2 linked regions of the Daphnia pulex genome follow. The protein of the gene in region 2 interacts with the protein of the main gene of each other region in a pairwise test. Links are inferred from orthologs where the notes say so. Each region holds a gene or a part of one and is shown on either strand. Other genes may lie near its edges.

Region 1 (4,000 bases), about 5.7 Mb from region 2:
GAAGAGTACAGTCCATTAAACTTGGAGTTCAAAATGAAGAAAGTTAGACATTCTGCTGTAGTCATACTGAACTGTAGTAAGTCAGGAATCTCTGCCAAAACTTTTTCTTTAGTGATAAGAAGACTTTGGGGGATCTGGACTAGCAGATGGTTAGGAGCTATGTTAGACATAGCCATGAGACCTCGTCCAGTGCTATTAAACAGAGCTGGCTTTGTAACTAAACAATTTTTTGACACAGCATTCCAACCATTCGCACTCATCCATTTACAAAGTTCAACGAATTCTGAATGTGAATCAATCCGAAGTGGGCGAGAATGCACAATTCGAACCAACCTGTTTCGGATTCTAGATGTTCGTCCCATGTTTTTTTATAATGGAAATATATTTAATTTAACACCACAACTTTATACCACATTCATATTCTCACAGTTTTTCAATAAACTCACGGCGGTTTTCTTTTCGAATAGAGATGAAACAATTGGTTAAAATGAAATTTACGGCTGCTTACACTTGACTTCAAATCTTACTGAGTTTACACTTTACACATTTTGTTTACATCAGAGTGATCAGACGACTATGAGTTGACAGTGACAGGAATAGGGACGGGTGGGTTGAATCCGAAGTGGCTAGTCCGCTTTCATATGTATGGTTTGAGATGTAGCCCTTTACGCACCAGGAAGTGCTTGATTTCTAGTACATCTTTTGGATCCTAGGGCAAAATGCACGCCACTAGAGGCGCTATGCCCACGAAGTGAACGAACTAATGCTTGTCGCTTGACAGCTCTTTTTATACTAAATGCTATCCAGCACTCCCTAATGCATTAAAAAGGACGTTGCCTTCCCCCAAGCCTAGAGAGTAGAGACGTAGCAGTAGATACGTCTAAATAATTTTTTTACTTGACATAAATCATTTTCTATGATAGCCTAGCCTTAAGCCCTTAACTTTCCAAATTAATTAAAAAGAAAACCGTTATTCGTACGCAGGTACACTATCCCTTAACGGAAGTGTGAAAAAACAGGTTCGGTTTTAATTGAATAACTGAAACGCTATTCATCACAAAGAGAAAGATTTGAAAATAAATGCGGAACTTGCATTTGAGACAACCAGACGTCAACGAAAAAGAAGTGCGCGTTATTAAGATCTACCTCTAAAATTTATGCGATCTCTTTTGTCGTTAAAGAAAATCGGCCCAAATATTATATATTTTGAGATAAAATCCGCGGGTTAATGTCAATGGATTTATTAGATCCAATTCCTTGTTGTAGTTATTATATACCAGAGAGATGTATATTTTTCCTATATCACTGGCAAAACCAACAGTCAGATTCACGTCGATGTCCGTTAAATTTTTCTTAAATTTTTGGTTTAGTGCTTTAGTCTCAATTTTAAAAAAATTCCGCGATCCTCCCATCAGATACCTTAAAGTAGCAGCGAAGAAGCAACAAGTTTACTAGTTTTGGAGTAGCCTTTTTATTTTGCGTTTATTTGAATTTATTTTGATTCAAATAAAATAATCTGATGGGCTATTTGAATTTGGAAAAATCTCCAAAAAGTCGCTAAAAAGCGGAACAGCCACTTTGGTTCTAGCTCTACTGATCGTATAACGAAGCGAAACATGCTGTCTGCAGTCTCTGCACTCTGACGAACGTGTTTGACTGTTTGCCCACGCCAGTTTTCAGTTTGATTAGTCTGCAACCTGTGAATCGGTATTTTATTATTGTCCTCACTGTGCATAATAATAAGGAAGGTTTAGACAGTGATATTTATATATTACTCATTAGCTTATGGGGATGCTTTGAACATTGAGAATTTCAATACTTTACGTAAAGTTTTTGAACACGTAACCTCGATTCTTGATAATCTTTCTTGTGGTGCATTCAAATTTGTGCCGCAACATGTCATCTAACAATGCCAAGCGAAACATCTATGTCGGTAAGATCAAATAACATATTTCAGTCTTACGAAATGTAATGCTTACTGTGATTCATTTTAACAGGTGGCCTTCCTGATGAGGCAGATGAATCAGTAGTGCGTGCAGCCTTTATTCCTTTCGGAGAAATTGTTAATATAGAAATACCTCCAGATTATGAAAATCATGAAAAACATAGAGGTTTCTCTTTTATTGAGTATGAACTAGCTGAAGATGCTGCTGCCGCAATTGATAACATGGTATTCTCACAATTTCTTACAGTTTATCTAGTAAACAAATATTTAATTACTTGCCATCATGGATGCCTTTCTTTCAGAATGATTCTGAGTTGTTTGGCAAAACAATTACTGTAAACATTGCAAGACCTCGGAAAATTAAGGAAGGATATTCTAGACCAGTTTGGTCAGAGGATTCTTGGTTGCAAAAATATGCTGGAAAGACAGAAGAAAATAAAAATCCAGTGGAGGAAAACAATAAGGAATCAACTGAAGGGAAAGACAATGTTTCTGAATCTGAAACTAAGTCAGCAGTTTCTAAAAAGCCTCGCGGCAACCCTCAAGTGTACATGGATCTTAAAGCTGGAAAAATCAATTTGGGCAGAATAATTATTTTATTGAGAGCTGATGTCGCCCCTAAAACATCTGAAAATTTTCTTGCTCTCTGCACTCATGAAAAAGGTTATGGATTCATGAATTCCAGTTTTCATCGTATTATTCCAGGATTTGTAAGCGGAAAGCTCAGTTTTAATCAATATTTATTTTTATTAACGTTCTTTTGCAAAAGATGTGTCAAGGTGGTGATTTTACTAACGGTGATGGAACCGGTGGTCGATCAATTTTCGGTGGAAACGGGAAATTCGAAGACGAAAATTTTACGTTGAAGCACAACGGTCCTGGTATTCTGTCTATGGCGAATTCAGGCCCAAATTCAAATGGATCCCAATTTTTTCTAACCCTTGACAAAGCAGAATGGTAGGTTTTTTCCCTGTTAAAATATCATAGTTATAATGCTAATAGCACCTTTATGTTTTCAAAGGTTGGATAACAAGCACGTCGTATTTGGTCAACTTCTTGCCGGCCTAGATGTTTTACGTAAAGTGGAGAAGTACGGAACAAAGTCTGGTAAACCGACTGACAAAGTCATTATGTCCGCCTGTGGAGAACTATTGTAACACATGAATAAAAGAAGCTTTTTTTTAACTACATTGTTTAATGACCAATGTCTTGTGCTCATGAAAAATATAAACAAACAAATTGATTGGACTACAGTATATTCCAACCCTCTTCCCTCCCGGAAAAAAACAAAAAAACAAAAGAAAAACATTAACGTCATGGGTCCTTTAATTTTCGTTGAGATTTTCATATTGATTGATCCAGCTATGAATCAAATCTTGGATGTAATTGTCTTGCAGGTCTTTGGGTATCCGCGGTCCCGGATAATTCAATTCTTTATTTAATGCGCCTGTTAGTTCATCTAAACAAGTAAAATAATTGGTATGTTTACAGGAAATTCCCAAGTTTGACATTTTTTAGACACTGTAAGGTATTTGAATGAAAAAAGATATTTACTAATATTCATATTAGGCCACAAATCTTGCTTCTGATTCATAATGGGAATTTCATTGGATATACGGCCAAAAGGTTCCTCCCCAACCATTGCCGCCCGACCAGACTTCGAAAGATATATATATTTTTTTTTAAGTTTAGAAATAATTATCTGATTTTTTACGTCTACTGTGGACTACACACCTCCGTGGAAATATCCTTGCGCCTACCCAAACGAGGAACCGCCTTTGATGCCTTCAGAAAAAAATTAGAGAGACTTCCTTCGTGAGGAAAAGATTCTGAATTCATGTATTCAGCGATGATTCCTTCACCTCGTCGGCCGATTCGAGGAATCTTTTGTCGAAACCTATTATAATTCGGATTAAACGGTTCCGGGCTGGGATCTGATAAGGCAGACGCCAGCAGTAGCCACGTTAAAAACAGTCCTTGATTTAACAAAACGACATTAGTTGGTTCACTTTGTACTGTAAAGCAAGAATTAAATTCAAATATAAAAACCTTTTA
Region 2 (4,579 bases):
ATTCCCATTGGTAGTGGTATTCCCATAGGTGGTGGTCCTCTCCAGTCCTAAGAGGAAAAAGTTATTTTTATTTTGTTTTGTTTTCTGTTATGGTCTTTAAAATCCTTACCGAAGATCCCCACTGTGAATCCTGAGTAGGTTCGTATTGGTAATAATCATCGCCAGGAGCTCCTGGGCCAGCCATGAACTCATTGGCGTAGGGATCAGGTACTATAGGTGGTGGTGGTAACATCATTGGTGGTGGAATTACTGGTGGCGGCATACCAAATGGAGGAGGTAGAGCCATATTTGGAAAACCAGGAGGAGGACGTGAGAAATCGATCGATACGGGAGGTTTCTCCACAGGAGCTTCAGGCTGATATTAAAATGAAATTTAAATAATAAACTTTAAAGTTTTTTGGTTGACTTTGGATGAATATTTTATTAAGGATACGGGGCCTTACCACTTCGGGAGGTTGCTCCTCCATAGAAGGAGCAGGTGAAACGCCTGATTCTGGTCGGCGTGAAGATAGATTCCCTCCACCAATGACATCAATGGCACCAGCCATTTTGCGTGCTGGCGGAGGGCCTGCTTTTTTCACAACCACTGACCCCGCATATTTTGAATTTTCGTTAACCACTGATATCGGAATCGCTTGGGCCGGGGTCGCCATCATCTGAATCAAAAAATAATAATATCGTCTTTGAGCTTCATTTGTTTACGTATTTTATTACCTTGGGTGGGGGTCCTAATCCAAGGCTAGCCGGAACACCAGCCCCAGACTCCATACGGGATCGCCTTTGTCTCTCACAATATGCTTGCCACGTTATTTCATTGAAACCGTAATTAAAATAATCAGTGATATCAGCACCAGGCTTCCTCCAAGGTTTATCTTCCAGCGAATCCAAACTAAATTCATGTGCTGGTACACCGTTAATCGCCATTGAGCCTTCGAACTCTTCCACAGTGAACTTAAGATAAGATACATATGTTAAAAACAAACTCTTGCATCAAACATGATGTAGCTCAATGTATACTTTGCTCTTTTCCCCCAATCCTTGTGCCGTTGTTCCAGCTGTTCCTCTTTTGACATTAAAACCAGCATAAGCTGCTGGGCCAGATTTTATGTCACCAATCGTGATTTGTACGTCATCATCACTTTCATCATCCTCATCGTCATCATTGTCTTGATCTTCATCTTGTCTCTCATCCTTTTCTTCGTTAGTCTCTGCAGCTTCTTCTGGATCTTTTACAATAGAAAATACAGGATGTTAAAACTGTTATGGGAAAACCAGACAAGCGATTCAACACAGGGAAAGAGACAAGGGATAATAGTTGAAGAACTTTTCCATAATTAAAAATGTACATGAAATTACCATAGCCTTCTCCAGCGTATTCCGTATTTCCGTCATTTCTGTCTATGGCAATATGATCTTCATTTTCGATTTCGTACATTTCTCCATTACCGGTGGTGTCTTGGTCGATTTTTCCATCATCGCCCTGAAAAAAAAAGAGACAAGTATCAATTTCAGTTGACGAACAATAATTTTTTTTTTAAACTCACGTATTCATCTGGTAACTGTTCCGAGGAATAAGGGAATTGTGAATTAGAATTATCTGCCTCATCTGGGTGCCGGACAGTGTCGGCCATATTCGGTTGTAAACAGCAGAAGACCCCACTTCAATTTAGGCCTGAGGGGACAAACAACAGCGAATGTACGCTTGTGGCTTGTCGGCTGTCGCTGTTTCACATCAAACGCAAAAATAAGGTATTTTTACTATAAAAACTTGTGATAATCCATTTTTATAATGATCTCGTTATATAAAAAGACGCTATTAGGGACAAAATTCAACTTTAATTTGGGTTAGACGTAAGTGTGCAACTTGGCAACACTTCACCCGGCAGACGTGCATTTACGTTTGGTTCGTAAATTTATTTGTTAAATTTTATTTGAGCCGAGTGGCTGCGAGAAAATTCATAAACAAAATGGATAAAAGTATAGGGAAGAAAACTGGAGACATTGTTTTGGTAATAATACATTGTTTTATATTGAAGTTGACTAATAGGTTTTAACAATATGTCTTCTGTCTTTAAAGTGTGAAGAAGATTTAGCGTATGAAGAGGAGATTCTACGGAACCCTTACTCTGTCAAACATTGGCTTCGCTATTGCGAGTTCAAAAAGGATGCCCCTCCTGTTGTTGTCAATTTGATTTATGAGAGAGCTTTGAAGGAAATGCCTGGCAGGTTCGTTTGATTGGTTCTTGTAGTAGTACATAGTAAATAAGTTTGTACTCATTTTCAACTATCCACATGTTTGTCTCTTCACAGTTACAAACTATGGTACAGTTATCTCTGCCTAAGAAGGAAGCAAACTAAAGGTCGCTGTATAACAGATCCACTGTATGAAGATGCCAACAATACTTTTGAAAGAGCATTGGTATTCATGCACAAGGTATCTTAAATGCCAATTATATTATTATCACACATTATTAAATACCATGTTTTTAATGAATACCATAGATGCCAAGGATTTGGATGGACTATTGCAAGTTTCTGACTCTTCAACAGAAGATTACCACTACGAGAAAGGTCTTTGACCGTGCTCTAAGAGCCTTGCCAATCACCCAGCATTCCAGAATTTGGCCCCTCTACTTGAAGTTTGTTAAAATGCATCCAATACCAGAAACAGCTGTTCGAGTTTTCCGTCGTTTTCTTAAACTATCGACCGAAGATGCAGAGGAATTTGTCGATTACTTAAAATCTATTGACAGACTTGATGAGGCAGCTGTTAAACTTGCCCAGATTGTGAACAAGGACAGCTTTGTTTCGAAGACAGGAAAATCAAACCACCAACTGTGGAATGAACTGTGCGAACTTAATTCGAAAAATCCCAAGCAAATTAAAAGTCTTAACGTGGATGCAATCATTCGAGGAGGTCTTCGACGGTGAGTGTCTGGAAAAAAATTAAATGCAAATATTTTTACAAACATAGGAATAATTTACTGGATTCTTATGTAGGTACACTGATCAACTTGGCCAGCTTTGGAATTCCCTTGCCGATTACTATATTAGAAGTGGTTTGTTTGAAAGAGCAAGAGATATTTACGAAGAAGCCATTCAGACAGTTACTACAGTACGAGACTTCACACAGGTAAAATACTTTGTGGTCGTCTTATTTAATGCGAATCAAGTTAACGTTTTTCTGATTTACGACAGGTGTTTGATGCCTATGCCCAGTTTGAAGAGTTGAATTTGAATCATATGATGGAAGAGATTGGTCAGAAACCTAATCCTACAGAAGACGATGATATTGAAGTTGAGTTGAGGATGGCCCGCTTTGAGGATTTAATGGATCGCCGGCCCTTGCTATTGAATTCTGTTCTTTTACGTCAAAACCCCCATAATGTCGCCGAGTGGCATAAACGAGTCCAGCTTTATGAGGGCAAACCTCATGAAGTTATCAATACTTTTACCGAGGCTGTCCAGACAGTCGATCCAAAGCAGGCCATTGGAAAGGTGCACACGCTGTGGGTCGACTTTGCCAAATTTTATGAGAAAAATGATCAGATTGACGATTCACGGATAGTTTTCGAAAAAGCTACGCATGTAAGTTGTTTTTGCAGTGCATTAAAAGCCTTTGATCCCCTCATCATTTTTGTGTCACTTTAAAGGTGAAATACGTGAAAGTTGATGAACTGGCGACTGTTTGGTGCGAGTGGGCCGAGATGGAGATCCGAAATTCTCATTTCCAAGAAGCTCTCAAGTTAATGCACCGTGTTACAACTCCTCCTGCACGCAAAATTAATTACCATGATGACGCCGAACAAGTGCAAACACGTGTTCATAAGTCACTGAAGGTATTTTATATTTTTAGCCACTTCCATTCTAATGATCTCTCTACGATTGTCACATTTTTATTTTCTAGATTTGGGGTTTGTACGCTGATCTTGAAGAAAGCTTTGGTACTTTCAAAACATGCAAGGCCGTGTATGACCGTATCCTCGAGTTGAAAATTGCAACACCGCAAATCATTATGAACTATGCCATCTTTTTGGAGGAAAATAACTACTTTGAAGAAGCTTTTAAAGCTTACGAACGTGGCGTTGCTCTTTTCAAATGGCCCAACGTGTACGACATCTGGAACACCTATCTCTCAAAGTTTTTGAAACGCTACGGCGGCTCAAAATTGGAACGAGCTCGAGATCTCTTTGAACAGTGTCTTGAGGGATGTCCGAATAAGTTTGCCAAGACTTTCTTTATGCTCTACGCTAAACTCGAAGAGGAACACGGCTTAGCCCGTCACGCTATGAACGTTTACGAGAGAGCCACCAAAGCTGTGCCAGCAAATGAGCGCTTTGACATGTACAATATGTACATAAAGAAGGCATCCGAGATTTATGGTGTGACCAAGACGCGCCACATCTATGAACGATCCATCGAAGAGCTACCCGATCACCAGGCTAGGGAAATGTGTTTGCGATTTGCCGATTTGGAGCGCAAATTGGGAGAAATTGACAGAGCCCGTGCTGTATACGGACATTGCAGCCAAATGTGCGACCCCAGAGTTGCGCCTGAATTTTGGAAGGTATCTTATCTT

The links. The genes of interacting proteins can lie anywhere in the genome.
Region 1: the proteins of pre-mRNA-splicing factor syf1 homolog (region 2) and peptidyl-prolyl cis-trans isomerase E-like interact in a two-hybrid assay, tested with the Caenorhabditis elegans proteins (2 studies listed by BioGRID). The link is inferred for Daphnia pulex from reciprocal best matches to the Caenorhabditis elegans genes syf-1 and cyn-13.

Annotation. Positions count from the first base shown.
Region 1 is NC_060020.1:8,629,342-8,633,341, forward strand, and holds peptidyl-prolyl cis-trans isomerase E-like, read left to right. Parts: upstream 1-1,597; 5' UTR 1,598-1,896; coding exon 1,897-1,933; intron 1,934-1,997; coding exon 1,998-2,170; intron 2,171-2,247; coding exon 2,248-2,655; intron 2,656-2,714; coding exon 2,715-2,902; intron 2,903-2,966; coding exon 2,967-3,102; 3' UTR 3,103-3,188; downstream 3,189-4,000. Other genes in the region: uncharacterized protein LOC124191929, read right to left, coding at 3,271-3,404, 3,500-3,602, 3,680-3,921, 3,995-4,000.
Region 2 is NC_060020.1:2,902,762-2,907,340, forward strand, and holds the start of pre-mRNA-splicing factor syf1 homolog, read left to right. Parts: upstream 1-1,658; 5' UTR 1,659-1,749; intron 1,750-1,810; 5' UTR 1,811-1,967; coding exon 1,968-2,009; intron 2,010-2,077; coding exon 2,078-2,226; intron 2,227-2,310; coding exon 2,311-2,434; intron 2,435-2,502; coding exon 2,503-2,927; intron 2,928-3,000; coding exon 3,001-3,133; intron 3,134-3,198; coding exon 3,199-3,588; intron 3,589-3,653; coding exon 3,654-3,839; intron 3,840-3,907; coding exon 3,908-4,567; intron 4,568-4,579. Other genes in the region: pre-mRNA 3'-end-processing factor FIP1-like, read right to left, coding at 1-47, 110-355, 444-656, 715-951, 1,018-1,226, 1,357-1,480, 1,545-1,631.